Callithrix jacchus: one gene and its partners. The protein of the gene in region 1 purifies or fractionates together with the protein of each later gene. This does not show direct contact. Links are inferred from orthologs where the notes say so. Each region holds a gene or a part of one and is shown on either strand. Other genes may lie near its edges.

What was found.
Region 2: the proteins of FBXL4 (region 1) and CUL1 purify together in Homo sapiens (affinity purification with western blotting; 4 studies listed by BioGRID, with this or other methods). This does not show direct contact. The link is inferred for Callithrix jacchus from reciprocal best matches to the Homo sapiens genes FBXL4 and CUL1.
Region 3: the proteins of FBXL4 (region 1) and BNIP3 purify together in Homo sapiens (affinity purification with western blotting; 4 studies listed by BioGRID, with this or other methods). This does not show direct contact. The link is inferred for Callithrix jacchus from reciprocal best matches to the Homo sapiens genes FBXL4 and BNIP3.
Region 4: the proteins of FBXL4 (region 1) and BNIP3L purify together in Homo sapiens (affinity purification with western blotting; 4 studies listed by BioGRID, with this or other methods). This does not show direct contact. The link is inferred for Callithrix jacchus from reciprocal best matches to the Homo sapiens genes FBXL4 and BNIP3L.

Annotation. Positions count from the first base shown.
Region 1 is NC_133505.1:104,905,651-104,912,828, reverse strand, and holds part of FBXL4 (F-box/LRR-repeat protein 4), read left to right. Parts: intron 1-299; coding exon 300-371; intron 372-5,038; coding exon 5,039-5,351; intron 5,352-6,311; coding exon 6,312-6,475; 3' UTR 6,476-7,178. UniProt on the Homo sapiens protein: Substrate-recognition component of the mitochondria-localized SCF-FBXL4 ubiquitin E3 ligase complex that plays a role in the restriction of mitophagy by controlling the degradation of BNIP3 and NIX mitophagy receptors.
Region 2 is NC_133512.1:99,021,198-99,028,981, reverse strand, and holds the start of CUL1 (cullin-1), read left to right. Parts: upstream 1-3,677; 5' UTR 3,678-3,856; intron 3,857-3,944; exon of another isoform or gene 3,945-4,063; intron 4,064-4,208; exon of another isoform or gene 4,209-4,335; intron 4,336-4,990; exon of another isoform or gene 4,991-5,438; intron 5,439-7,784. UniProt on the Homo sapiens protein: Core component of multiple cullin-RING-based SCF (SKP1-CUL1-F-box protein) E3 ubiquitin-protein ligase complexes, which mediate the ubiquitination of proteins involved in cell cycle progression, signal transduction and transcription.
Region 3 is NC_133513.1:125,281,281-125,289,075, forward strand, and holds the start of BNIP3 (BCL2/adenovirus E1B 19 kDa protein-interacting protein 3), read right to left. Parts: upstream 5,324-7,795; 5' UTR 5,196-5,323; coding exon 5,150-5,195; intron 1-5,149. UniProt on the Homo sapiens protein: Apoptosis-inducing protein that can overcome BCL2 suppression. May play a role in repartitioning calcium between the two major intracellular calcium stores in association with BCL2.
Region 4 is NC_133514.1:15,174,487-15,182,102, forward strand, and holds the start of BNIP3L (BCL2/adenovirus E1B 19 kDa protein-interacting protein 3-like), read right to left. Parts: upstream 4,534-7,616; 5' UTR 4,468-4,533; coding exon 4,371-4,467; intron 4,147-4,370; exon of another isoform or gene 4,074-4,146; intron 3,993-4,073; exon of another isoform or gene 3,783-3,992; intron 3,351-3,782; exon of another isoform or gene 3,263-3,350; intron 1-3,262.

The DNA of each region.
Region 1 (7,178 bases):
GCTTACCTTTGGGAAATTAATCAAGAGGTCATAGGGAATATAGGTATCTTTAGGGCATGCAAAACCATATACAAAGTGAAGACTTACATGGAGACTGGTAATGATTACCTTGACTCCAAGCCAATCAATGGTGGAGCCTTTGGGGACTCATTAAATGGCATTTGTGGACTCTGTAACCTAGCTTTTGAGCTGCATTTCAGGAAAAGCAGTGACAGCCTTTAATGTCTAATTGACCTCTTCTCTTTGTTTCACTTTCATTCACTTTCCATACTTGCCTCTGATGTGGTCCCTAATGGCAGCAAACAGCACTGCTCAGCATTTTGAACTTCTGTTCAGAGCTTCAGCACCTCAGTTTGGGCAGTTGTGTCATGGTAAGTATTTGAGAATTCTTTATACTACTCAATTACTTGTTCTCTTTTTCTTCCTGTGGGTGAAATTTATCCTGACTCACCCTACCCCACACACACCCACAGTTTTTCAGATGTATGGTTCTCTTCTTTGTCCCTTGCTTTCAAACATGTTTCTTAAATTGGAAAGTATGTCTTTGAAACACTGACATTATTTATCCAGGAGAGCAAGGGAAGAAGTATAGTGTGGTGGAATATAGCATAGTTCTGCCCCAAACCAGATGTTGTCTCCAACAAACTATTCACCTCTCTAGGTTTCTTCACAAACTAAGATGTCAGTCGTACCCAAATGCCAATAGTTTAGTAAGTTTTTCACTGACCTAATTTATCTTTTAAAGTCTGAGATAATGTTCTTGAAATTTTCATGATAATAGATAGATTTATTTAATACGTTTGTTTTTGTGTTTGTTTTACTGTCCTTACTGTCAAAATGGAAAGATTAGCACCCTTTGTTGGAACTCTTTGTGTGTGTGTGTGTGTGTGTGTGTGGAAATTTGACTGGTCTGTGAAATCTAAAAGCCTAGGGACTCTTGGACTAGATAAGCTTTAAAGTCCTTCCAGATTTGAAATACAATTTTATGTGCCCTTGAAAGAGCTCATGGGAAGAGTTAAATCTTTTAATCTAAACCACATAATTATATAGCTTTTAAATAATACCAAGATGTGAAGGACAATAGAAATATTGTGTGGAGAAGGTGTGCATGTGCATGTGTGTCTTTGCGTGCACACATACTGTAAGTGAATCTTCTGGTATTGGAAGAATTCATTCCTCCTCACTTCCTCCCCTAAACAATGTAGGTTTAGGAGATCCCCAGAGCATTCCAGTTTTGCCTTGCATTCACTTAGTAGGAAGACTTGAATAAGCAAAATTATTGCAAGTTTCTAGAAAAGTTCTGGTATGCTAGATTTAGAATCGATAGACAGGGCCCTGGACCTAAAATAAGTCCCATTTGAACATCTCTTAGAGCTCAGCGTGGCTTCAGGAATGTCCCAAGATTTGGCAGTATAGACTAAGTAGGCCTTTTATGATGACATGTTTATCTCCATGTCCCCATGGTCTTTGAAATCTTGTGGTTAAGTTTTATTAAACCCCAAGTATGGGATCAGGCCATCCCAGTCTCTAGAAACAGTCATGGGAGCCCACTAGATTTTCCTCACTTCCAGTCAAGTTCTTACCATAGTAAGCCATTTGATAGGCTTCTGTGGGTCTCTCTAGTGACTCTTCTAGATGGGGCCAGTGACATTTGATGGCAGTTTCTGTCACAATGCACTAGCCAGCTACTGTACTTGGATTTTCCTTATTGCTAGCCTGCCCTCTTTAGATTGGTAAGGACCCTATTTAACTTTGCTTAGATGTACCTTATTCTGCTTGTTATTTACCTCCCTTTAAACTGGAGCAACATTCCTTAGAAAATCAAGCCTCTGACCATAGACACTTTACTACTGGAATTATATATATGCTTACAGTTGGAATTATATTAAGTTAGCATTTTTCAGAGTTGACCCATGGAAAATTAGTCCTAGAGGATAATCAACTTTAAAGGCTGTGCATTTGGGGGTGGAGTGGAGATTTCTAGTGAAATTAGGAAGCCAAGTATGGTTGCCCACACCTATAGTTCCAAATACTCTGGAGGCTGATGTAGGAGGATTTCTTGTGCGCAGGAGTTCAAGGCTGCAGTGATACGGTTACACTGCTGCACTGCAGCCTGGTCTTAAAGAGTTTGACAATGGTGTGTTCTACAACAAAGAAACTGTTTACCTTTGCTAAAACCAGTGTGTTCCAACCTTACCTAACTACTGAACTCATTTTTCTATATTGTATTTTATTGTTGACTGTCAATATAATGGCAGTTTGTAGATTTGTGGTATTTATTAAGCAGTTGTTCACAGTATACATACATAGGTCACTGTGTTGACATTGCCATGGTGATTGTGATCTATCATATACCTTCGCTGAGTATTCTCCTCATGGCGTACTTTCTCTGTAGTGAGTTTAATGTAGGTAGTAAATTAGTTGTGCCACTTTTTTTCTGAAACTAAACTTTGTGCTACAAGTGCCAGTTAGATTTGCAGTGACAAGAACTTCTGAGGAGTAGTGTCTCACCTGTAATAAACTTGAATAGTCTAGTCAGTGCCATAAATATTCTTGTAGGACTCCTTAGAAATACTTATTTTTCCTCTTGATTGGGAAATAAACAAATTTTATCTATTTCTTTTTACTTTTGAAAATGGGCCAGGCGCAGTGGCTCATGTCTGTAATCACAGCACTTTGGGAGGCCTAGGTGGGCAGATCACGAGGTCAAGAGATCGAGACCATCCTGGCCAACATGGTGAAACCCTGTCTCTACTAAAAATACAAAAATTAGCTGGGCTTGGTGGCACATGCCTGTAATCCCAGATACTCAGGAGGCTGAGGCAGGAGAATTGCTTGAACCAGGGAGTTGGAGGTTGCAGTGAGCCGAGATTGTGCCACTGCACTCCTTCCTGGTGACAGAGCAAGATTCTATCTCAAAAAATAAAAATAAAAACAACTAAAAAAGTTTAAATTCCACTATTGTATAATACTGCTTGAAGTAATTTAAAATTGCCTAAATTAAAGAATCATAGGACCTAACTGGCATTTTCTTAAGTTTCCTACTAATTGTGCGATCCTGGTCAGGTCACTTAAATTCTTGCTGATAGTTCCTTTGTGACATTTGTCCTATTTTTAAAATTAGATCATGAATAAGAAAATAAATATGTCTAATCTTTTTGGGGAAAAGAGAGTCCTGTGTAATAACTAAAATTTAGAAGGGATTTTAGTTAATAAAGGAGAGATAGGTTACCTTTGTTCCAGTAAAAAGTATTAAGTTTCATTCTTACTTTCCCAGCCCTGAATTTGGCATGTTGAATAGTGCTCTGAAAATTTCACAGCAATGAAAAACTCTTGAAGGAATTTCTCATTGTATTCTGTGCTGGTAGAGAATTCGTCCAAATGCCACTGAGATTGCCCAGGCACCAGTTGAGCATAATCAGAATCATGGGTTTCAGAAAAATTTTTAATTGTTTCTTTCTAAATAAGATAATTGGTTGCCCTACTTATCAAACCCACAGTTTTGTGTTGTTCAGGTATACTCACTTAAGGAGATAGTTTTGTTCCCCCGAACCTGTTTCTGGTAGACTTCTGCATGATTCCATCATACATGCACTGACATCCAGAACCTTAGAAATCATTACCCCTATATCTAATCTGTCAGCCTTTGGTTCCAACTCAAAAATACAGCCCCAAATCTATCAGATTTCCCCAATTCCATCATTGCCACCTTAATCTAAGCCCCTGTCATCTCTCCTTTACACTGTTGCAGGCCTCTTCAATGAGCTGCCTCCTCTGTTCTTCCCCACCATAGGCCCATCCTCCAGACAGAAGCTTGGGGTAGTTTTGCTTTGGTTTTAATGTAAATAATAATATGTCACTCCTTTTTGGCTTCCTTAGTATTTGAAAGAAAAATCTAACTCCTTCCTGGCCTAAATGGCCTGGCCACTGTGTGACCCTACTCTCCATAGCCTGTTTCTTCCCTCACCACCCTTGCACCATATGGATCTCCTTTTTGTTTCTCGAATGCAACAAACTCATTCCTGGAGATTTCAGCAATTACCACCCCTTCTCTCAACTCCTGACACTCTGATCACTGTCACATCACTCTGTCTTATTATTTTCCCACCATATGTTGCTCTTTGAATTTATTTTCTTTACTTAATTAGTCTGTTTGTCTTTCCCAAAAATGTGGACAATGTCTGCTTCTTTCAGTTTGCTGCTGGTCCTAGCATATGGAATGGTGCATAAATATTTGCTGAAAATACAATTTAACAAAAGAACAAAAGGAGATAATCATTGTAATTGTTTACTATTTTGTTTCCTTTTGATTTCTTATGATGATTTTAATGTCTGATTTTAACAAAATCAAATGAACCTCTTAAAAGAACCTATTTAAAGAAACATTATTGAAGCATATAAAGCCCAAGAACTGAAATGTTTAATCCTTGATTAGTAGAGTCTTACCCTGGAATCATGAAGTAAGCACTGGATACCTCCAATAACTGACAGTTCATTAAAATATTGTAGTCTAAATTATTTTCATGTGGTATATGCACTCCCCCAATGCCTCATTTACCAAAACTACTAGTATCCTTATTAGTACTATCAGCATTTCCACATAGTGTTTTAGAGCCTACCAGATGCCACATCAGGGAGATCTTATATACCTGCCAAAGTATATTAGCCATGTATAAAATGGAAGAAAGTAAGTCCTGTCACGAGTAGCAGCAGCAAGATTGAAATGGTGGGCATAAAAGAATAACACATCATCCTTTAATTTTTCATGAGAGACTGAAAATGTCAAACTGCTTTGGGATTTAATTCATTAACATCTTCTGTCTGGAGTTCTCTTAAACAGATTTTTAAATAAATGATTATTCTTGGCTGTTTTATGAAACAGTGGTAGATCTGTGAGATGAGTGGGCAGATCTGTATTAACAAAGATGTGTATTTGTTGACATGGAAGCAAAATGATAGGAGATAATTAAGAATCTGACTTATTCTAAATAGTTTGCATGTCTGAGCATAACACGTGTTGGAATTGTTTGATTTCCAGATTGAAGACTATGATGTGATAGCTAGCATGATAGGAGCCAAGTGTAAAAAACTCCGGACCCTGGATCTATGGAGATGTAAGAATATTACTGAGAATGGAATAGCAGAACTGGCTTCTGGGTGTCCACTTCTGGAGGAACTTGACCTCGGCTGGTGCCCAACTCTGCAGAGCAGCACTGGGTGCTTCACCAGACTGGCACGCCAGCTCCCAAACTTGCAAAAACTCTTTCTTACAGCTAACAGATCTGTGTGTGACACAGACATTGAAGAATTGGCATGTAATTGTACCAGGTTACAGCAGCTGGACATATTAGGTAAGGATACAATATATAAATTTGTTTTAAATGCCTATTTCCTTGACATAAAAGCTGGTCTCAGACTTCTTGTAAGGAGAAAGAAAATTTTTGGATACAATAAAAATTTTGTCCTGATAAGACTGCTTGGTTTGATAGAAAATGCAAGATAGATCTGTTAATATAGGGAATAATTATACATGTACTTTAATAAAATGGGACAATAACAGAATTTTATAGTTGAACCTATCAAAAACTCTAAATAATCATTAATTCTTGATCTAGTTGGAAGAGTGAAAATTTACATGAACTGTGCTTTCTATTTTTATTAAGGAGACAAAAGAAATACATTTGATAATGAATGCTAGCTAGTTTTTTTTAAAGTTTCTTCATTATTGATTAAGAAATATCATGATATCTTTATCCCTGATAATTCTAGCATTTAAGAATAGTTCTACCCCAGGCAGATCTATTTAAAATCTTTTCCAACTCTGGTATTTCTTATATCCTTACTGCCTTCATCAGAAAGTAACCCTATGTAATTTTGTTACTTCTTACTTTTAGCCAGGGGTGCTAGCAGTGTCACAGTAGTTATTGTCCACACAATTGGTACTTTGTGAACTCACATCGCACTTGCACATTTTACATCAAATGCATGGTGAAAATCATTTTGAACTGGGGTGACAGAAATAGGAAAGTCTGGAGGAGCTGATTTGAAGGGGTAGGAGGTAGGAATGAAGATAGTGGGTGGGATATTGGCAAGATTCAGGTCCTAGATGCTAAATTGTCTGGGAAAATTCAGTTTTTACTTTTTTAACAGAATGATTTCAATATGAAGTCTTGTTTGAAAAACAAATGATTTTAATTTGTAAAGGATTATTTATTTTAAGTTCATTGCAAATAATAAATCATGAATGGATTCATTGTTAGCACATTATATAAATGTTATACTTAATTTTTTTTTTCTCTTTCCTTAAATAGGAACAAGAATGGTAAGTCCGGCATCCTTAAGAAAACTCCTGGAATCTTGTAAAGATCTTTCCTTACTTGATGTGTCCTTCTGTTCACAAATTGATAACAGAGCTGTGCTAGAACTGAATGCAAGTTTTCCAAAAGTGTTCATAAAAAAGAGCTTTACTCAGTGACTTAATATACGTTCTGTAATAAATTTAATGTGCTTCGGTGGGGTTTTATTTTGGGATTGGTTTTGGGTTTTGTTTTTAGTTGTTTTAATGGTAAGAAATAAGACATTTGTAGGTTTTAAAGAAAATTATGAAATTGTTCATTAAATCAAGTAAAAATGTGCACAAATATTTCCATATAATATTGTAAGCACTTTTCTTCAAGAATATGTGAGTGGATGATATTATTTTTACCTTATGTTAATCAGTGATATTATGCTTTAGTAATTAATGTGATTGATAAAAGAATAACATGGAGACATGCTAACTTATTTTTGAAGGAACACTGAGCAATAAAGTATCATGGTATTTATGCAAAAAAAAGTTAATTTTTTACTTTGGGAGGCCGAGGTGGGTGGATCACAAGGTCAAGAGATCGAGACCATCCTGGTCAAAGTGGTGAAACCCCGTCTCTACTAAAAATACAAAAAATTAGCTGGGCATGGTGGCGCGTGCCTGTAATCCCAGCTATTCAGGAGGCTGAGGCAGGAGAATTGCCTGAACCCAGGAGGTGGAGGTTGCAGTGAGCCGAGATCGCGCCATTGCACTCCAGCCTGGGTAACAAGAGCGAAACTCCATCTCGGAAAAAAAAAAAAAAGTTAATTTTTTACACCTCCATGTAAAGATCTTATTCAGCCTGTGACCTGGCAAGTGTTTTATTTGGTAT
Region 2 (7,784 bases), on another chromosome or scaffold:
AAATAATGTATATTTCATGATTTGGATTAAATAAGGTTTACTTTAAAAATTATCACTGTCAGCATAGGTAATATTTATTTAGGATTTAACTTACAACAACCTTATATGAGATACTATTATTATTAATTTATTTATTTTTTGAGACAGAGTCTCATTCTGTCACCTAGGCTGGAGTGCAGTGGTGCAATCTTAGCTCACTGCAACCTTTGCCTCCTGGGTTCAAATGATTCTCTTGCCTCAGCCTCCTGAGTAGCTGGGATTATAGGCATGCCACCACACCAGGCTAATTTTTGTATATTTTGTAGAGACAGGGTTTCACTTTGTTGGCCAGGCTGGTCTCAAACTCCTGATCCCAAGTGATCCACCTGCCTTGGCCTCCCAAAGTGCTGGGATTACAGGTGTGAGCCACTACACATGGCTGAGCTATTATTATTATAATCCCCATGTCACCGATGAAGAACCTGAGGCACAAAGAGGTTAACTTGCTCAAAGTTCCCCAGATAACAAGTAGCGGTGCCAGGAAAGAAACTCTGGCAGTTTCAAGTTCCCTCCCTGCCACTTCCCAGCCAGCTACTTTTGATTCAGTAGATCTGGAATGGGGCCCTTGGAATTAGAAGTTAAGTCCCCGGGTGATTCTGAAGCAAAACCAGGTTTGAGAACCATCCTGTTAATTCACTTTGCACTGGATGGCTAGTTACTTACCTGTGTCTTAGAAATAATCGTTCATATAGTTAGTCAAGTAACACCATACCCTTTCATTTCAGTAGTAAGCAAATTTGCTCGGAATCCGCTTCAGCGTTCTTCAGGCACAGTGCTGAGGGGGCAGATGAACATTACGAAATTGTCTCTGACCCCACAGCACAGACCACCTAGTTTAAAGGCACATGTGAGAAGGCAATCAGGGAGAGGTCACAAAGCTTGAGTAGAAGGTGTAAGGTGGCGGGCTTCCTGGGAGGGGGGTGTGAGCTGGATCTTGAAAAGTGAGCATGAAAAAAAAAAAAAAAGAAAAGTGAGCATGATTTGGAGTTGGAGGAGAGAAGGGGGAACAGTACCTGTTAGAGGAACAACTGAATGGCATTGAGAGTTCCTTTTGGGAAGTAGCAGGAAATAAATTTGGAAAAGCAAGTTAGGACAAGATATGGTAAACCTTAAGTGCCAGGTCCAAATTTGGATTGAACCCTACACACAATATGGAACTACTGAAGTTTGGAAGGACAAAATTATAATGATGAAGGTATCAATTTACAAGGAATAATCTGCCATCAGTCATGACACAAGCGGAAGGATAAAGAAGAGGTAAGAACCAGGAAGAGCATTTAGAAGGTTAAAGAACCAACAAAAGTGTGGGAGAATATCTTAGTAAAGGAGTGGATATATACAGAAGTGAGTCACCGGGTCACATTATGCACTGATCAGGCTGAGCGATTTCACGCAAATTGCCTAACATCTCTGAGCCTTAAGTTTTTTTTAAATGAAAAATGGGTATGATGATAATGACTGACTCAAAACAGGCAAAGGATTTCTCTAGGATGGTGACAGCTCTGGGATACAAGGTGAATGGGCCAGGATTTTGAGTTTGTTTCCAGGTCTGCATGAATTAAAGAATGTGCTATGAATGGCAACAGGCACATTCACTTTGTGGAAGATGAGGGGGGACTAATGGCTGGTGAATGTTCCACGAATTATGAAGAAATTACTCTTTACACTCTTATGATGTAGGTATTTTTATCCCAAATTAACAGTTGACTTAACTAGAGCAAAAATTAGTAATTTGAGTTACTGGATATGACTCAAATTTGAGTAACTGAATATAAACCAAAGCCCACTAAAATCTAAAACTTGGGCTTTTCCAACTAGTACATCATATTGTCGAGTTGAAAGTTGTATTTTATGTCACTGCTTTTGGCCTAATGTTCTAGTCTGTTCAGACTATTTTGAATTTTGATTCTGACATCCATCAAATTAATTATCCCTCCAAACTTTGGGTCATCTGAGAGGGACATCGATTTTGCTGAGCTGGGGGAGAAAGATGGAGGAAGGAGGTTTTAAAGTAGAAAGGGAGCAGCAGGTGGCCTTGACCTGTTAGGCAGGAGGCAAGGTTATCTGCCCAAAGTAAATGCAAATCTGGTTGTTAAGTGGACATAAAAGTCAATGGAATAAATTTGCTGCTAAGAATGATCGTGTAGGCAGGTGAGGGTAAAGAATAGAAAGGAGTTAAGAACCAGGAATCTCGGAGGCAGTGAGAAGAGGGAGGGTGGTGTAGGTGAACCAAATACTCCTATTAAGAAAAAACAGAGGGCAAAGGAAACATACAATAAAGGGAAGGCTGACCCACTCAGCCTTTCTATTAGCTGGAGGAAGTCACAGAATAGGAGGCCAAGAATATTTCCCACCCCAACACCCTGCACAAATGAAAGGATTATGACATACCTAAGTGACAAATGCATTACTATTACAGATACTTAGATGTAGACAAAATACATTTTTTTTTTTGAGACAGTCTTGCCCTGTTGCCCAGGCTGGAGTGCAATGGCATGATCTCGGCTCACTGCAACCTCTGCCTCCCAGGTTTAAGCAATTCTCCTGCCTCAGCCTCCCAAATAGCTGGGACTACAGGTGTCTGCCACCACACCTGGCTAATTTTTTTTATCTTTAGTAGAAACTGGGGGGGGGGGTCACCATGTTGGCCAGGCTGGTCTCGAACTCCTGACCTACGTGATTCGCCCACCTTGGCCTCCCAAAGTGCCGGGATTACAGGCATGAGCCACCGCGCCCGGCCAAGACATTTCGATAGAGGGGATCACATAGACCAGTGGGATGTTTCTTCTGAGACAAACCCATGTTATGCAGTAAACTGTGGACTCTGGGGACAGCCCTCTGCTCTGACTGAGGCCTTCTGTCCCGAGTGGTACTGGAATCTGTGTAGCATTTTAGTTTGGAGGAAACAAAATTACACTCATCACATCTTTTGCCCAGATGACAGAATTCGAAATCCCCCGGGGGTTGTTCGTGGAATGAGCCGCTCGGTGACGTTGTGAGCCGTGCTATTAATCAGCCATCCCTCACTAGGTGCGGGGGGGCCACCACGCTTCCTCCAGCCCGTCACCATAGCAGCAGGTGGCTATTTGTGCTGCCAAAATTAGTATTTAGTGTGAATATTCCAAATAGCCAATTATGACAGTTAATTTCAAATGAGATGACTTCGAACTACACGTGAAAATACTATTTTACATCATGCCTCATGCCATCCCTATATGTAATCAAAGCCTTCTAGTTTTGATTTGTCCTTCCAAAGACCAAGGGTAGAGTAAATGTCAAAATCTGCCAAACAGCAGTTAGTGAAAGAGTCTGAAGAGGGAAAGCCTAGTTAGGTTTGACCTTAGAAGTGATTTTTAAAAAGAGACACATAGATAAAATGTGTCTGGAGCCAAATCCTAAGGCCTGCAGGTGTTAAGGGGGGGGTCGAGAATCAGCTGCACGTTCCTTGGAAGTCCGCGCCGATTCTGGGAGGCACCTGGCCACCTCTGACTTTCTGATCTGTGGTGCATCCCCCAGTCCCGGTCGACAAAAGTGGGGAGTCGAGTTCCAGGCCAGCGGGGGACGGGGGTTGTGCGCACAGGGGAGGGGCAGGAGGACTGCGAGCCCCTCTCCTTTGGGGTGCTTCGGGCCCTTTCTTCAGAGGCTGGTGGTGTCCCCGACCCAAGCAGCTCATTCTCGCTGGCGAGGTCCGAAGTGGCGGGAACGGGTCCTCCGCGGCGGCCCCAAGGCGAGGGAGGCTGTAAAACCTGGCGGAGGATCCAGCGCGCCGGGTCGGGGATGGCTCGGGTGTCAGGGGGCAGGGGCCGTGGGCTCGCAGGTAAAGAGCCCCACGTGAGCGGGGGCCACGGCCACAGAAGGGGCGCCCCCGGGGCGGCGGGCGGGCGGGAGCTTTCCGGGCCCCTCCCGCGTCTCGGGCTGGCGGGGCGATGGCGACGACGGTTTCCCGGCTCCCCCGCCCCGGACGCCGATGGCGGTGCGTTCCGGCCCTCCCCCAACAGCTTCTCCCCCGCGGTCGCCGGAGCCGGTGAGGCCGGGAGGGCGGGGAGCCGTGGAGAGAAGGCGAGAGGGCGGAGGTTGCGTGGTGCAGGCGGCGGCGGCGGCGGCGGGAGGAGGAGGGCCGGGCGGGCAGGGGAGGAGGAGGAGGCGGGCTCCGTGTCGCACGCAGCTCCAGGCGGGGCAGCCCGGGTGGCTGAGGGACGCAGCCAGACCTTGGCGGGACGGGGCTTTCGCCGGGGCCCAGGCCCAGCGACCAGGCGGAGGCGTCGCGGGAGCCTTTTGGGCACTACGGAGATGCGGGTGAGTGTCGGCCGCCGCAGGGCCGAAAGGAGGTGGTGGCGGCGGCGCAGGCCCGGCCCCGAGCCGCGGTGTCGCAGTGACTCGGGCCGCGGTTGCCGAGCCCAGGCGCCGGGCGAGGCCTGAGCCGCCGAAACGCGGCCGGGCAGAATGGCGGCCGGGCCCGGGGGCTCGTGGGCGGAGGACGCCGGGGGCGGCAGGGGAGCGAGCGGGGCTGGGCCCTGAGTCACCCCGGACGGGCCGGGGCGGCCAGGCCCGGACTACGCACTGGGAAAAAGCCCGATTCATCGCGCCCAGAGGCGGCGGCCTGGTGGCGCCGGCCCCTTTCCCCGTCGGGACCGGGCTGGGTCCGCGGAGGCTGGGCCGGCGTATGGCCCCGGGCGACTTGGGCGTTCGCGCCTCGCCTCGTGAGGCGATCTCCGCGGGACACCGGGACCCCATGCCCTTGCCCCTTCTCGCCCTCACGACCACGCTTCTCCTCGGCGCCGCTTTCCGGCCGACGCGTGCCCTCCTGTGAGCCCCGGGCTCGCGCGCGCAACCAGCCGCCAAGCCGGGCTCTCTCGCTTTCCGGTTCCCTGCCCGCGGCTCTCGGGTTCCGCGCCTGCATTATTGCGACCGTGCAGGACGCTATTATTGGCTAACAGCCGTCCTTTTGCCCAGTTGTCCTCGGGGAGCGGGCTGGGCTGGCGCTCAGAGATGGGAGCCCGGCGGCAAAACCGAACGGAGCCCCACGGCGCCCGCCTAGCGCTCGCGAGTCTGGCCGGGCCCTGCGCCGCGGCCTCGGCGCGCCCCCGGCCCCAACGGGAGCGCGCGCCATGACCCTGGAGGTAACCGGGCGAGCGCAAGCTGCGGGGACTTGGGGTCCCCAGGCTCGGGGTTCGTGCGATTTTTGCCCCAAGATCTGAAAGACCCCTGTTTCTGCCACCGGTGCAATATTGTGTAGCGCAGACGTAAGATAATTAAGAAAGAGAGGAATGCTTGTAGACACTGCTTGAAATGAATCCCCAAAGTTAAGGTTTTCTGCCTGGCTGGCTTTGCCAAAAAGAGGATTCTCTTTTCCGACTGGGTCACTCTCGGTTGCTTCTGGTTCGTAGTAGGCGTTCGTGGTAAGTGCACAAATGCTGAATTGCAGTCTTCTTAAATATTTATTTGCTCAGTGTAATTGCTCTTTCCTGTAGTAGCATTAAAATCGTCAAAAGTTCTGAGTGGAGTAAACGATCACACTTTTTGGAATAATCTTAACGAAGCGGCAGAAGAGAAACTAGATTCCTTTTTTACTTCAAGCCAGGAGCTTCTAGGACCTAACGCCTCGCGGAAGTGTGTGCAGTTTTAAGTTTAACACTTCATTTCATGGTGCACCCGAAAATGTACCCAGTTTTTTGAAATCCTGGAGAGTGGATTATGTAGTAAAATATGTAATGACATTTAAAATGTAAAACCAGTCATTTTGTTTGAAAACAATATTTGGCGATGAGATTTTTCTTTGTTTAAAGGAGGTTTTTGGATATTGGAAAATGTTTTACTTCGAGGTTCTATTTGTTGTTTTCCATGGTGAGTCGAAATAGTTGCATTGCATTTCAAATTCCAAAGCATGCAAACACAAGACTGGCTCGCTTTAACTCTATTATGCCCATTTTTGGAGGTTTCAGGAGAGTGTTCCTTAAGCTTGAGAGGGATGGCTGAATTGCTTTCTAAATATGTTAAACTTCTTTCCTCATTGGCTTCATCTTTTAAAAACTGTTTTGTCAGACAACAAACCAACTTTAAATATGCTAGGGTTTTTCACCAATTTGTAAAAGCTTCCTTCCTTGAGAGCCACATGCTCAGGTCCTTCCCCACCCCCCACTCCCAATGTGTGTACCACATCAGAAGACAGACACGCATGCCTGAGCTGATTCTGCATGGTTTCCTTAGATATTATAGTTCATTAGACTCTTGCCACTTACTGAATGTTATCTTCTAGCTGTAATTAACTACAATACAGCCTTATTTCCCATACATTTCCGATTCTGAATTCCTTCAGCGCAGGGGATATTCCCTGTTTATTTTTGCGTCTCCAGAGTAACAACTTGGTTATGGTGGTGCCTCAATTGCTTATTTTTGAATGAGTGAGTTTTCTGGAATAATTCTAACTTAGTGTTTGAAAACATGCCCTGATTGTTGGCTGCAGAAAACACAGTCGTTGCACTTAAGCCGGTTAAGAATGCAAGCTTTATTATACACTTAAGTAAAATCGATTCTCTCATCTCTCCTTTGCCACTCTCCCTTCCCATTTCTCCACTTCGCACCTCCCCACAGCCCCCCAGTATCTAGTACAGGGCCCCAACAGAAAAATGCCCAGGTTTTCTATACCTGTGAAGTCCAGGAAAGTGCCAAGAGAGAACAAGTTGTGAAACTTTAGCTTTCTTTCCCATTAAAACTAGTTTTAAGATGCGGAATTTTTTTTTACTTTTTTTGGAAACACAATCAAACGCGATCAGGATCAGGTCCTCCCACCCCCGGTTGAGTATCCAGCTTTGCCTTTGAAATGAAGCAGTTTGGTAGTTGAGGCGTCTCCTTGTTGGAAAGGTGAGGCCAGCCCCTTGGTTCTGCTGAAGTGGGATAGGAAGTTGCTGTGGGAGGAACCATCCCTGGGTCACTGAGGCCCTTTCATCAGAATATCATTCCTAGTATACCCAGAGGCATTGTGTCTGTCTTTCAGCATGGAAAATTAAAATGAATGTACTTTAAATTGAGGAGTTGTTACTTGCCATTCTTCAAATTAAAAACATTAGGACCATAAGAACTTATGAAGGTGTTTTGGTTTGTTTTGTTTTGCTGTTTCAGCCCTTTGTAGGTCCCAAAGCCATGACCTTGAGTCACTCTGGAATAAAGTGTCTTTGGGGGACTGTCAGGTTCATTTTGAACTTGTTTTAGGTATGTCTGGAGAAAAGAGTTAACCATTTGAAGGGCCAATTCTAAGTTTGTCTTGCTTTTTAAAAATATCTGGGAGTTTATCCGTGTGTTTGCTTTGCAAATGAAGAAATGAACATTAAATGGGAAGTAGATCCAATTTGGGTAAAAGTCTTGTGTTTGCCGAGGACATAATTTCCTCTTTATAGAAGTTTCTTGTTTATAAAATGAACATTGAGTAAGCACACTATAAACAGGATGATAACATTTAATGACTTAAGTTTTTTATTCATGCATGGAGGTATTTCACTTCTAAAAATTCTGTGATGGAGAGATGTAGTCATTTATTTTTGCTTAGGTATAGAGCGTCTTGATTTGGGAGAGAGGACTTGAGTCTAGTTAAAGCTTACCTTTGCAGGGCCAGTATTTGCTCATTTGTGAAATGAGATGGTTTTTTAATTGACATTGTTGATTTCCTTAGGCCCTCAAAGTATGTGGATTCCATGGGAATGCCACAGCTTTGAACATTAACAGCATTTTGGGAAAAACGGTCTCAAAGA
Region 3 (7,795 bases), on another chromosome or scaffold:
TCCCTCCATCCAGCCCCTTAGAGCACTAATCCCATTCACAAGGGAGGAGCCCCCGTGGCCTAAGCACCTCTAAAAGCCCACCTTTACTATCATCCCACTGGCAACATGGGAGGGACACAGTCAAAACAAAGCAGTGCTTTTAAAAAATCGCCCCAGAAAGAGTCCTAAGCATCCTGGAGACAAGGAAAAAAACCATTCCGTATTGTCTGTGACTAATGACTTTGGGCCCAAAAGCTGTATTCCCAGGAATGATTTACTAAGGGAGAGGAGTTACTGTTTACCTACGCAGGGTAGGAAAGGCACTTCCTGGAGAACAGAGTATGCTGTGAATCTACTCAAATGTTACAATTCTCCAATCTAATCATTCACCTTTTCAAACAAAGATGGGGATTAAGGTTGCTTAACGATCTTAAAAAACTTGCTCACGGCAGGGCACGGTGGCTCACACCTATAATCCCAGCACTTTGGGAGGGTGAGGCGGGCGGCTCATGAGATCAAGACCATCCTGGCTAGCACAGTGAAACCCGTCTCTACTAAAAATACAAAAAATGAGCCAGGCATGGTGGCACCTGCCTGTAATCCGAACTACTCAGGAGGCTAAGGCAGGAGAATCACTTGAACCCAGGAGGTGGAGGCTGAAGTGGGCCACGATCGTGCCACTGTACTCCAGCAGCGTGGAGACTGGCTCGGGAAAAAAGAAAAACACCTGCTCGTGATCACAAGTCCTCTACTTAAAATGACTGCAGTAATCAGGCCCGGAAAGCAAGCTGATGCAAGAAAAGCCCTCAGCCTTTTTTTTTTTTTGACTGAGTTTTTCTTGTCACCCAGGCTGGAGTACAACAGCACAGATTTCCGCTCACAGCGACCTCCGCCTCCTGGGTTCAGGCAATTCTCCAGCCTCAGCCTCCCGAGTAGCTGGGACTACAGGCACCCGCCACCACGCCCAGCTAATTTTTGTATTTTTAGTTCCGACAGGGTTTCACCATGTTGGCCAGGCTGGTCTGGAACTCCTGACCTCAGGTGACCCTCCCACCTTGGCCTCCCAAAGTGCTGTGATTACAGGTGTGAGCCACCACACCCAGTCGAAAAGCCCCCATCCCTAATCTCATTTCCCATCCCTCTCTTTATGTTCCTCCCCCTCCTCACTTACAACTTACATTGGTAACAAGACACGCAGGGAGTAAATCTTGCCTCCCTCCTAACAAGGCAGATGAGATTTTGAAAAGCCTAGACTATAAATATTTACATCACATTACAAAAAGGAAGCTGATAGGTCTGCCTCAGAGACAAAATACAATCCAACAACAGTTCTTAATCCATTTCTTATTCTTACTCTGTGGTTTAAGTCATCTGACATCCAGCTTCTCTAGGTGCCCCAAGCAGTTCTCTCTATAGTGACAGACTCCAGGGAATCCCTTAGATTCACTGCCCCTCTATGTCCCAGGGCAAATGCCCTAGCTGCACTCCTCAACACGGATTCACCGGCTGCAGCCAAGAGCCCCACGTGGAGTAAACGCAGGGCCAGTTCTCAAGGCCGTCCTCTGCCCTCATCTGGATGACAGTCTCAACTCTGGCTATGAAGGGAAAATCACCTGTGCTGTTTGTTCATTGTTCTCCAAAAGCCCAGCCGCAGCCCACTCTGAAAGCGACTATTTGGGATGCTAGGGTGGAATCCAGGCAAATACACTGAAAAAGCTCTTGGATAAATGTCAGAAGAGAGGGAGCCAGCATCCCCAGAAAAAAAAAAGCCTGAAGCAGGGAAGCTGTCAACCCCAGAGGGAACTAGCACTCCCAAGACCATATAAAGGGCTTCTTCCCCACGGGAAGTGGGCTCTAAGCAATTGCTGTTTTATGGACCAGGCTCCTTGGCTATTCCAGCACTTTGGGAAGCAGAGGATCATGAGGTCAGGACATCGAGACCATCCTGGCTAACATGGTGAATGAAATCCCATCTATACTAAACATACAAAAACTTAGCCAGGTGTGGTAGCACGCGCCTGTAATCCCAGCTACTTGGGAGGCTGAGGCAGGAGAATCACTTGAACCTGGGAGGCTGCAGTAAGCCAAGATCATGTCACTGCACTTCAGCCTGGGGGACAGAGTGAACACTCCATCTCAAAATTTAAAAAAAAGGAAACTGCTTTTATTTTTACCTTTAAAAGCTTCTCAGGTTAATGGGAAGAGGAACAAAAGAGACTTCCCTGGCAAAAGACTTCAAGCCTCATGTCAGCCTGGCAGGTAAATCAGGTCCCTGGCTTCTGACAGGGCTCAACCTTCCTCTTGCTAGGCTCTCCTCCAGGACCCTGGCTATCTAATCAGCCTCAGGCAATCTGGGCTCCAGGTATCCATCCCTCCAGTGCTTAATGCAGAGTCCTCGGCTTTTCCTTAATTATTGTTGCTGGCATTCTTCTTCACTCCACCTCTAGAACCTCACTGTGACCATCGTCTTGGATGAGAATCTAGACGTCTGCAACCCCTTCAGGTCTAAAACCGCACAATGCTACAATTCCCCTCCAAAGTAAGTACAAACATTTTTCTCCTCATACAGCTCTGCCCATGGTGAGTTGCCTCTGATAAGAGAACCATCTGCCGGTGCAGACACAGCAGTGGGTGAAGGGGTGAGGGCTTGGATCGTTAAACACAGCCGCTCCAGAGTAAATGGGCCAACGCTTTACTGAACCGATGCCCTCCTGAAGACAGTGCGTCCTTGAAGGAAGGAATGCCCCCACCCCCACAACCCTGGCGGCGTCACCACAGAATCCTACCGCTCCTGCATTTTAGCAGTGGCATGTCTACGGGAAAACGGCCGAGTTGAAGGCTGCAGTGAGCTCCAGTGATTGTGCCACTGCAATCCAGCCTGGGCGACAGAGTAAGGAATAAAAAGGACACATATGAGCATCCTGCTAGTCAGCAACTTTAGCTAGAATCATCAAGAGACAGAAGGGACAGAATCAGCCCATCTGCCGTTAACTCCTCAGGAAGAGCAGCTGACCCCAGAGGGTACAAGCAGAGAGTGTTTGCTGCTTCCATCTGTGGGTCTGGCTACAGGGCTCCCACACTTCCCTGTTCCGAGGTAAACAAGGGACAGAGAAATCAGACCAGACGGGGTGAGTGCTGCCTGAGCCACGGCTCCGCGCAGGATTTGAAGGCGGCTGGAGCCCGCGGGACCGGCCGACCCCGCCCACGCAGAGCCCACGGTGGCCCCATTCTGCCGCGCAGACACCCAGGACGGCCCAAGGAATTGCCAACCTGGGTTCCACCCCACGCGTTAAGTATCTTATTACAGAATAAACAAAACAGAAAAACAAAAACCTAACTCCAGCGCTGATCGTCTTGCACTGCCGATGACTCAGCAGCCTATTTAAGTTACGGACTGGAGAGGAACAAGCCCCTGCGGAGCCCCCTCCACCTCCCAGGGCCCGGATCCTAGCCGGTCAAAGAAACACACCGTGTCCTTGGTAACTCAGCTTCACAAACGGAAAATGGGTGATTTTACAGCAAAGGAAACATCTCTTGGATTTTACTTTATGACAAAAGACAGAAAAATACCCCTTAATCTATTTCAGAATAGTAATTATCCAATGTTTACGTTTCAAGAGGAAAAAATCCAAATTACAGGATTTTTAAAAATATGGTTCTAGGCCAGGCCGAGGCGGGAGGATCACTTGAACCCAGTTCAGACCAGCCTGGGCAACATAGTGAGATCTCATCTCTTAGGAAAAAAAAGGTGAAAAAAAATATGGTAGTGTTCAAACATACATAAATTATTCGATATATTATGGAAACTAAGTTCTGCCTAGTAAAATCTTGCTTTTGTAATAAAATTAGCAACTCACTAAACTTAATGTAAATACATGACTTTCAGAACTGTTCGTGAAAACTGAAAGTTCATTGGCAGAGGTTTCAGCAGTCCTTTCCCAAGCTTATTTACTTGCTAATTTTGCTTTGTAAACTCTGGCTTCAGAGAACACAAAGGTCAGCTGCCACCATCCCTCCCCCGAGGCCTGGGCCCTAGGGACCCTGGGAAGGCAGCTTCTGGACCCGCTTCCCTGAGCAAAGGCTCATCTGGGCTCTGCACGTGTATTTACCGGGTGGGGAGGGTCTCCATGCCACCTGGCTGTGCGTGGGGCAAGTCCTGAACCGCTGGTACTGCGAACCTAGCAAAGGGCGCACAGCAGGCCTCTACGCGGGCATTAAGCAGGCTGCAACGACTGGCTGCTCTAAAGGCGGCGTCCTTTTGTGATTTTTAACCCGTAGGTCATTTAAAGCTTTGTTTCGGAACGATCCTCTAGGAGAATCGGACCAAGTCCATTTAATGCCAGAATCTAACAACGCTGTCACCCCCACCCATTTAACTTCAGGAAATCCCAATAGTCACCACGGACTTCAACAGCAGCCACAAAACTAAAGCACTTACAAGCCACGCCTCGGTGTTTACTCATTAAAACCAATGCTAGGGCGGGCGTGGCGGTTCACGCCTGTAATCCTAGCGCTTTGGGAGGCCGAGGCGGGTGGACCACCAGGTCAGAAGATCGAGACCATCCCGACTAACACGGTGAAACCTCGTCTGCTAAACCCACCAAAAATTAGCCGGGCGAGGTGGTACGCGCCTGTGGCCCCAGATACTCGGGAGGCTGAGACAGGGGAGTCGCTTGAACCCGGGAGGCGAAGGCTGCAGTGAGCCGAGGTGGCGTCCCTGCGCTCCAGCCTGGGCCACAGAGCGACGCTCCGTCTCGAAGGCAAATAAATAAACAAAACCGATGCTGGTCTGAACTACAGACCGCGGAGGGCAGCGTGGACTTCAAGAGGCTGCCCGGGCCAACTGGGAGACGCAGAGCCACCTCCAGGTGGAATTCCAGCCATCGCGAGGCTGGAGAATTGGGGCTTCCCCGCGCGGTACGACCCGGGTCCAAGCCACCCCTCGCCCCAGCCAGGGGGCCGCGAACCCGGAGCAGCGCGCGGAATCCCCACGCCCCGGGCCCCGCACGCCCGCCGGAGGGGTGGGCACCGGAGAGCAGAGCGACACGGCCTCGGTCGGCCCGCGATGCCCCCCCCAGGCCTCCTCTCGGCCTCTGTCGGCGCGCCCCGGCCTACCCCCCAGCCTCCTCTCGGCGCCCCCTCGGCGTCCCCCCGGCCTCCCCGGCCTCACCCTGCAGGCTCTCCTCCTGCATCCCCGGCGCTCCGCTCTGCGACATGACGCCGGAGGGCGGCTGCGGCGATCAGAGTCCGCGCCGGGCTGCGGGCTGCGGGCTGCGGGCTGCGCGTAGACGGCGGACGGTGAGAAAGTGGGCACGGGGACGCCGCGGCCCAGCGCTCGGTGACTGAGCGGAGCCCCGCCGCCCGGCCAGAGGAACTCACCGGGTAGGGCGGGGCCGGGCGGATCTGCGGCCGCGACGCCCATTGGCCGCGGCGCGGGACCTGCGCGTGCGCAGGGGCGTGCGGTGCGTGCGGCACGTGTGGCGCGTGCGCGGGGCGGGTCCTGGGGCGGGCGAGGGGCGGGGACTGCGGTGCGCGGGTCGCAGGCGGAGAGAGGGGCGGGGCGAAGGATGCGCAGACGCGGGCGCGGGCGAGACCGCCTGAGGTGAGCCAGGCCGGGCGGAGCGTCCCGGGCCGCGTGACGAGTGGGCTGCGGGGTCGCCGACGCGGCAGGCGGTGGGCCGGGTTTTCTTTTAGAGGGGCGGTGGGACCGGCGGACGCGCTAGGCTCTACCTGTCACCCCGGCGCCGCCACGCTTCGGGGCGGGGAGGGTCTCTCCATCCTAGTGTGGGGAAACAGGTGCGGGGAGAGCGACGTCCCTGCGGGGGGCGTGAGGACGTGCGGGGAGAGCGGCGTCCGTGCGGGGGGCGTGAAGACGTGCGGGGAGAGCGGCGTCCGTGTGGGGGGGCGTGAGGACGTGCGGGGAGAGCGGCGTCCGTGCGGGGGGCGTGAGGACGTGCGGGGAGAGCGGCGTCCGTGTGGGGGGGCGTGAGGACGTGCGGGGAGAGCGGCGTCCGTGCGGGGGGCGTGAGGACGTGCGGGGAGAGCGACGTCCCTGCGCGGGGCGTGAGGACGTGCGGGGAGAGCGGCGTCCGTGCGGGGGGCGTGAGGACGTGCGGGGAGAGCGACGTCCCTGCGGGGGGCGTGAGGACGTGCGGGGAGAGCGGCGTCCGTGCGGGGGGCGTGAGGACGTGCGGGGAGAGCGACGTCCCTGCGGGGTCGTGAGGACGTGCGGGGAGAGCGGCGTCCGTGCGGGGGGCGTGAGGACGTGCGGAGAGAGCGACGTCCCTGCGGGGGGCGTGAGGACGTGCGGGGTGCGTGAGGACGTGCGGGGAGAGCGACGTCCCTGCGGGGGGCGTGAGGACGTGCGAGGGGCGTGAGGACGTGTAGGGAGAGCGGCGTCCGTGCGGGGAGAGCGACGTCCCTGCGGGGGGCGTGAGGACGTGTAGGGAGAGCGGCGTCCGTGCGGGGGGCGTGAGGACGTGTAGGGAGAGCGGCGTCCGTGCGGGGGGCGTGAGGACGTGTAGGGAGAGCGGCGTCCGTGCGGGGGGCGTGAGGACGTGCGGGGGTCGTGAGGACGCGCGGGGGTCGTGAGGACGCGGGGAGAGCGGCGTCCGTGCGGGGGGCGTGAGGACGTGCGGGGGCGTAGCTGCTGCGGTTCCTGGGCGGCCGGTGGGGCCGGTACGGTCGCTGCGAGTGGTGGGCCGGAGCCGAGGCCGCGCCCCCGGGTCTCTGCCCGCCCGGCCGGGGCGCCCCTGCTTGAACAGCGGGGCCGTTGTGTCTGGGGGCGTCCGCTCACAAGGAGCAGCGGAGGCTCAAGTGGGGCGGAAGATCCGCCCGAGGGAGACGCGGACCCCAGGGGCCCGGAGAGGCGCGCCGTCCGCCTCCGCGGCGAGGGGTTTCCGGGGGCGGGCGGGGCTCGGGGCGGGGTGGCGCCGGGCCGGGTGGGTACCGGGCTAGGGGAGCCGGCCTGGCGGCCTCGGGCCTGGAGGGAGGCGCGCGCTCTTCAGAGGAAAGGCTCGTTTCCCGCCCTTTTTCCCAAGAGTCTTTCTCCGTGGAAGCATTGACGACCCAGATCCAGGTGTCGCGTTGTGCCCCCGAAATACTCCTTCCCAGACAGCCGGGTCTGGCCACGCGGGGAAGGCGGAGGCCCCCGACAGCGAACGGGGACGCCAGGTGCTCAGAACCGGAACCGGGATCACCGCGCGGAGAAACCAGACCTCCGTCACTGCGTGGATTTCACCGCAGCTCTTGCTGTTGAATCGGCCCTAGTATTTGGAGTGCCATGATTTTGGTTTTCTCGAGCCCAGTGTGGGAAACAGGCCTTTCATCTCAGCACTTTGGGAGGCCGAGGCAGGAGGATCGCTTTGGCCCAGGAGTTGGAGACTAGTCTGGGCAGCATGGCGAGACCCCTTCACTACCCCCCAAAAAAAAAAAAAAGAAAAATCACGGCATCGTGGTACCTGCTGTGGGAGGATCACTTGAGCCCAGGAGGTGGAGGCTACAATGTGCCATGATCAGGCCACTGCACTCCAGCCTGAGCAACAGAGTGAGACCCTGTCTCAAAAAAAAAAGAAAAAGGAAAACAGCCAGAGATACACAGCATTAATATTTCCAATAGTAGAACTATAATGCTGGCCAGGCAGTGCCTCTTGCTTTAATTCCAGCATTTGGGGGAAGCCAAGGCAGTAGGATCACTTCAGCCTGAGAGTTCAAGACCAACCTGGCCGACACAGAAAGATTCCATCTTTATTAAAACAAAAATGTTACCAAGTGCCCACTTTGGGAGGCCGAGGCAGGCAGATCATGAGGTCAGGAG
Region 4 (7,616 bases), on another chromosome or scaffold:
AAAAGGGTAATTTCCTTTAACTCGGTAATTTGCTTCCAAAAATATCATCTATGGAAATACATAGTGCAGAGAAAGTTATGTGCATAGGCATTGAGAGGCTACATATTAATCTTTTGAGTAATACACAGAAGAGCAAAACAGATGAACAACATGTCTTTGTCTCATCACCTGATTCGTTCCTGATTTACAAACTCAGAACTTCTTAGTGTTCTAACTCTACCAACCCTCACAAAGTCCAGTTTTACTTGGAAAGGAAGCAATGCTAGATAAGAGGTTTGTGCTGTCCAAGCGATACAAAGTAGAAAACCACAGAGTGAATTCCCTTCCTAACAATCAAGCTTGAAGACTAAAAGCTGGAAGCTTCTCTATGATTTAGACTTTACAAACGAAGTAAGAGCCGTTCCTTATGCTAATTTGCACAAAATATGCAGTGGCATGAGATATTTTCTGGTTTGGGTTTTAGGGAATGACTAAGAGAATGCTTCTCCATTCTCTAACGTAACAGATTGTGAAGGGTGGTTTAGTAATTGTGATTACATTCATTAATGTATGTTGCATCATCTTTACAGTTTTATAATCACTAGTTCAGTCCTCTTGCAATAAGGGGAGGAGAGGAGCTTTGGGACACGAGGAGGAGAAAATGAAGAGTTTTTCTCCTCAATTTCCCCCCTAACTTTTCAAGGCCCACATAGAACTCTTTTCATATTTCATTATATTTACATTCTTTCCTCAAAGCCTTTCATTCATTATTGAAAGGAATCCAGACCAGGCCAACAAGAGTCACTGACATTCTTCTAAAAAAAAAAAAAATGTTGGTCTTTTTGTAGAAGTATTTACACACAAGTTACATAGGTATTCAAAACATTGTTACGAGGCAGGGACACTTCATGAAGGCCTTAAGAGTACTCTTGATAACAGGAAAGCAGGCACATGATGGTTGAAGATTTATTTAAAAAAAGAAAAAAAGAGTTTGTGACCAGCCTGGGCAACAAAGCAAAACTCAATCTCTACAAAAAATAAGTTAGCCAGTGACCAACCTGGCCAACAAAGTGAAACTCCATCTCTACAAGAAATAAAATAATTAGCTGGGTGTGGGGGCGTGCACCTATACTCCTCGCTACCTGCTCACTTGAGCCCAGGTAGTAGAAGCTGCAATCAGCTATGACTGCATCACTGCATTCCAGCCTGGGTGACAGAGCAAGACTCTATCTCAAAAATAAAAATAAAAACAAGGAAAGAAAAAAAGGCTATATGTCTCAACAAGAATTATACTACTGCTTTGATTTTCCTTACTCACTGAATCTTATTCAAATACTCTTAAGGAAGTTAACAGTTAATAATTCTTTTTTTTTTTTTAAACAGTTAAGAATTCTTAATAAAACAAACTGGACAACAACCTTTTGACTTGGCAAGAGTTTGGGTATCTGCCCTGTAATTTGTAATGAAAGTGAACAGTCTCTTCATAACGGTAAACTTATAAAAAAAAAATCACAGAAATACTTCACTATTCAAATATTTCAATAATTTGCTATTGAAACTCTGCTTTGACCCCTGAACCAAAGATACAATCCCAAACCCAAGATAATCTGTACATTTCATCTCCTGTTTTCAGTTGTGCAACTTTACCCAACAAAATACTTCGACTTATCAGCAATTTGGACAGTACTAGATGCCCAAGTTGTTTTGCCCAGTACCCAAAAATCACTTCAAGGAATCAATGAGGCCTCTTGTTTTCTTCAGTCCAGTATTGTGTAATGAGCTAAAAAAACGAACAGAGTAAGAGGCAGGAAGGGAGTAATTAAATACGGCATTATCTAAAAGCTTTTCAGGAAGCTCACCCTATCTCACATAAAATACTACCTAGCAGATTTCCCAAAGCAATATTTTGATATCCCATGCAGCCTGAGTGTAATTCCACCTCTGTAAGAGCCAGAGTCAACCAGGTAGGAACAAATTGGCCAAAGACATCAAACTCGTCATAGGTCTGTAAGACACCAAGACAAACAATGACATATGGCTCAACCCCCTTTTTTTTTTCTTTTTTCATTGAGACAGAGTCTTGCTCTGCTACCAGGGCTGGAGTGCAGTGGCACAATCTCAGGTCACTGGAACCTCTGTCTCCCGGGTTCAAATAATTCTCCTGCCTCAGCCTCCGAGTAGCTGGGATTACAGGCGCCCGCCACTATGCCAGGCTAATTTTTGTATTTTCAGTAGAGAGGGGGTTGGTTTTTCACCTTGTTGGCAGGCTGGTCTCGAACTCCTGACCTCAAGTGAACCATCCAACTCGGCCTACCAAAGTGCTGGGATAACAGGCGTGAGCCACCACGCCCTGCGTGGCTTAGCCCTTTGTGTTGTTGTTAAAGGGGTCAAAGGAAGATGAAAATCCCTTTGCGTTCAGTGAAATTATGTACACCTACCAAGTATCTTCACTTGTAAGAAAACTGCACAATTAAACAGAATACTACCAAGAGACAGAAAGGTGGGTCACCTTTGTGCATCAGGTAGAATAACACAGACAAAATAAGACACATATACACCAGCAGGACCACTAAAAAGAAGCCTGGTTCTGGACCGCTGAAAAGAAGTCCCGAAAAGAGGCTGCGCGTTGGCTCACGCCTGTAATCCCAGAACTTCAGGAAGCCCAGGCGGGCGGATGACGTGAGGTCAGGGGTTTGAGACCAGCCTGGCCAAAATGGCGAAATTTCGTCTCTACTAAAAATACAAAAATTTGCCAGGTGGGTGGCGGGCACCTGTAGTGCCAGCTACTCACGAGGCTGAGGCAGGAGAATCCCAACCAGGAAGCGGAGGTTGCAGTGAGCTGAGAAAACGCAGCTACACTCCACCTTAGGTGACAGAGCCAGACTCCAACTCAAAAAAAAAAAAAAAAAAAAAGGCACCTGACAGGCTGAATGTCAGAACCTCAGCTTTGCTCCCAGCTGGCTGTGAACTTGGACACAAGGCCCCTTAATCAAGACCTGTTTCTCTACTGGTAAACAACAGAAGGCAGCTAGCTAGCTCTGAAGTTTCTTCCCATTCTAAAATCCAAGCGAGTACGCTAAACACGGGCAAATAACTTAAAATTGCATAGGAATATGTGATACAAATAACGTTTAAAGACACATACATTCATCCTAATTTGCTGCGGGAAATAATATAAACATCTTACATTCTGTAATATATGACACTTGAAGGTCTTGGGAGCTAACCCATCAAAACCTGAAGCAGCAGCATCCATCTTAAAACATCCAGATTCCATCCCTACCTGGTGAGGGCTGCAACTGCCTTCCCTGGAATAATAATCTTCAGGCCACATTGGAAGAACCTCCCTGTTACGAAAGACACTGCACGACCTTTAATCAACCAAGTGGTTTTGAAAAGACATAGTCTGGCCACATGCTCACTGCCCCCACTACCTCTTTCCCCAGAGATGAATTACAAAGGTTAGGCAAGAATCCTTCCAAGAAGGCTCCTGGCTCTCACAACGCCTGACAAAAATGTGAGGACCACACGTCTGAGCAGCGGAATGTTAAGAAAAGCCCCTGGCCTGGGTAGTCCATCAGCTCTGCCTGTTGACTTTCAACTGCCCGACTGCGTTTCTAATTCCGTTTCTTTAAATGCATGACCCCAGACTCCCTGATGTGTGCAGTCCTGGGTGTTTCAGGAGGCTGCTCTCAGGTTTACTGGGCACACAACCCCATCGCTTAAAAAAAAAAAAAAAATTACTTGGGCAACTTCGAGAAATCAAAAAAAGGAAAAAGGAAAAGCAAGGCACAGCCTCTCACCCCACACGTGACAAGCCACCCCTAGACCAGTAAATGAATTTTCCTGACGACCATGTGGCAACAAAGGAATGCTCGCTGGGGGCTCCCGCGCCCGCCAGACGCTGCCCGCTTGCGGGCCCCGCACACCTGATCCTTGACACGTCCCACGGCCGCCGCCCGCCCCACCCCGCTCCTGCGCGTCCATCCCCCGGCGTCCCATCCGCACGTCCCATCCCGGCCCACGTCCCCTCCGCGGCCCGCTCCTCCCACCCGGCCTCCCCGCCCCCCAGGCCCGCCCCCGTCCCGCCCCACCCGGCTTCGCTGCTGGGGACCCCCCACACCAGGGAGATCCGCGCGACCTCCGCCGATCCCGGACCGCGAACCCAAAAGGCCCGGGGCCCCAAGATCCCAGAGGGCACCGGAGAGGCCCGGAGGAAGGCAGACGCCCCTCCTCCTGACAGGTGACGGGAGCTGTCAGTCACCCGGACATCCTCGGCCTGGGCCAATGGGCTGCCTTCTCCTCCCGCCTCCCGCGCCGCGCCGGTGGCGGCGGCTGGGGCGGCTCCTCCTCCCCCATCCCCTTCACCGAGCCCTCGGCCCCACACTCACTGTTGAGGCCGGCCGGCGGGGGCAGAGACTGGTCACTTTCCTCGCAGTTGTTGTTGTTATTGTGCAGGGGTGGCGGCGGCTCGACTAGGTGGGACATTGTCAGGCGGGTGGCAGGGCTGCGGCAGCTGCAGGACTGTCTCCGGCTCTCAGGCAGCAACACAACAAGCCGAGTCCCCCGCCCCCTTTTCTGCGCTTGCGCCGTCCCTCCCCTCCCCTTGACGTCAGGGCCCGCCCAGGCCACGTGATGACAACACAACAGGCGACCGGGCGGGGCAAGGGCGTGTACCTGCGGGCCCCGGAAGTGGAGACGCGAGACTTAGGCTGACGCGCGCACCAGGAACGAACTCTTGCGTGTGACTTGGAATGACCGGATGGGATGAGTGATGCGGGTGGCACTGGGAGAGAAGATGAGGAGAAGCGGAATGAGGAAGTGCGCTTATGTGTTAGCGCCCGAGCCTCCTCTCACGCGAGCTCCACACTGCTTCACCCAGCTCTGCGCATGCTTCTGTTTTCTACCTCTTAGGACTCACTTCTGCAATAGATGTCTTGGGGACACAAAGGAAGCCCCAAACCTAGGTGCCTCCACGAGTAAACTCAAGATAAAGCCGCTGAAACATCAACGCTCCATTCAGGAAACAAGGGAAGGCCGCCCCCAAATTTAATTGCTACAGACTTTAAAAAACGTCAATTACAAACACAGCATCATTGTAAAAAAGAGAGAGAGTGAAAGAAAAGGAAGAAAAAAGAAAAATTCAGGAAAACAGAAGAGAGAAAGAAAAAAGAGAAAACAATCAGGAAAACAGAGGAGAAAGTAATCACCCAAATCCCATGCCCTAATCGATTTCTGGGACATGACGTGGGAAGCCGTTTATCCTGTACGTGGGTAACATTAAATGTTTTCCAAAACATACCTCCTGCTTCACATCTCCGGTCTCCTTGGCCTGATTTATGAGCGATATACATTTCGTGTTTGTCCAGTCTCCTTGGCCTGGTTTATGAGTGATATGTTTCTCTCAGTCTGTAACTTGTCTTTTAATATTTTTTTTCACTCTGTAGAAGCTTAAGGTTTTCATGTAATCAGATTTGTCATTCTTACACGGCTTGAGGAGACTTTAACACCAAGATTATTAATCTACAATTCCCCTATAACTTTTTCTAATTCTCTTAGAGGCTTAAATTTACATTTAGAGCTCTAATCCATCTGAAATTTATTCTCCATATGCTGTAAATTGTTTAACTTCAATTATTCCCAGTTTTGTAGCCCATTGATCCAATAATACTAATTTTAAGCCATCCTGTCTACCCTGATTTGAAATTGCACCTTTGTCACTCTCCGAATGCTCACAAAAATGTGACTGTTTCAGGGCTACCTACAATACCTCTGTTAGCTAACAAACTTTGTCTGCATTTGCCTTTTTCAGATGTTAATGACTATGCTGCAGATAAACTTAAAAGTGGACTTGTCCAAGATTGACCATATGTTGGTAATTATTGAAGCTAGGTAGTACATTAAAGTATTCCTCTAGTTTTTTAAATATATTTGAAAAATTCCACGCTAAAAGGTTTTTTAAAAAGGATTGATTTATCAAATCCCTTTGCAAACTCTTAAGATTTTGGTCAGAAATGAACTCGATTAATAGATTAATTGAGGGATTATTGACATATTTATAGAATTGTTTTCCCAGTCAGTACTACGAGATCCCACTTTGTTCTATTTTCCTTTTAGGAACTCCTTTTAAAAGGTTTTAAACATTCAAAAAAGTTTTTATTAATCATATGCTATTTTATTTTATTGAGACAAGGTCTCACTCTGTCACCCAGGCTGGAGTGCAGTGGTGCAATCATGGCTCACTGCAGCTTCAGCCTTCCAGGCTCAAGTGATCATCCCACCTCAGCTTCCCCAGTAGGTGCAACTACAGGTGCCTGCCATCATGTCCAGCTATTTTTTGTATTTTTTGTAGAGATGTAGTCTCCTTGTGTTGCTCAGGCAAGTCCCAAACTCCTGGGCTTATGGATCCCCCTGCTTCAGCTTCCGAAAGTGCTGGGATTACAGGCATGAGTCAACTCACCCAAGTTACTATATTCATTTTATTGAAAATAATTAGAAAGTTTCCTTGACACTGAAATTACTTTCTTTAAGGAAATATTGTAATTCTGTACAGAAGGACTGGGGCCTGGTGCTTTTAGGAAAGCTGTTTCTATAGGATGTTACCTTTATTTCTTATTTTATGTTGTTTGTCCTCTATTTGTTTCTTGAATATATTACCTAATCGTTTATCTATTTTATTGAGTCTTAAATTCCTGTTTCCTAATTGTATTTTCCCTAATTCTAATTTTTTAACAGCTCCATTGGAATATATTCCACATACTATACAATTCATCCGCTTAAAATTCACAATTCAATGTTTTTTACATATTCACAGAGTTGTGTAACCATCATAGTCTAACTTGGGAACACTTTTGCCACCCCCCCTCCCCCGCCATGAAAGGCTGTACTCATTGGCAGTCACCGTCAACCTTTCCTAACTTCTTAGATCTGGTGTTTATTTCATTCTTTATTAATGTGGGTATTTAAGAGTTTTTCCCTGGTCAGATTGGGTTTTTGTACTATTTTCAGTTTGGGAGTATTTTTTTTTTGGTGACCTTTGGGGCCTAACTTGCGATCCCTTTTGGGGATTATTCTGTATTTGAAAAGAACGTATACTTTGTGTTCACAAAATCAGATTTGATATATCTGTTGGAACACCTAATGTCATTTAAGTTTTCATACAGCTGATTATTTTCACCCCTTTATATGTCATGGATTTCAAGAGGTGAATTTGCATCTCCTACTCCTAGTATGTTTCTTTCTTCTTGTATCTTCATTCCTTATAGTTGATGCAGATGTTCATAACTATCCCTGTTTATCACTGTAACATGGTCATAATTTTGTCCTCAGTTCAAACTCAGTATTAAGATAATTGTTTGGGTTTTTACTATTATTGTTGCTTAGTTGTGTTCACCTGAGATTTTAATTTTTGTTCAGTTAACCTTTATATATATTTATATAATCCTCCCAATCCTTTTCCTTAGTCAAGTTTCTTTTAATGCCCAGCAAGGAACGTCCACCTTTACCTCTGCTACCCATTTTTTAGTTGATCTTTTTTTCCCCCTCACTCTGTCACCCACGCTGGAGTGCAGTGGCAGGATCCCATTTCACTGCAACCTCCGCCTCCGGGTTCAAGCGATTCTCATGCCTCAGCCTCT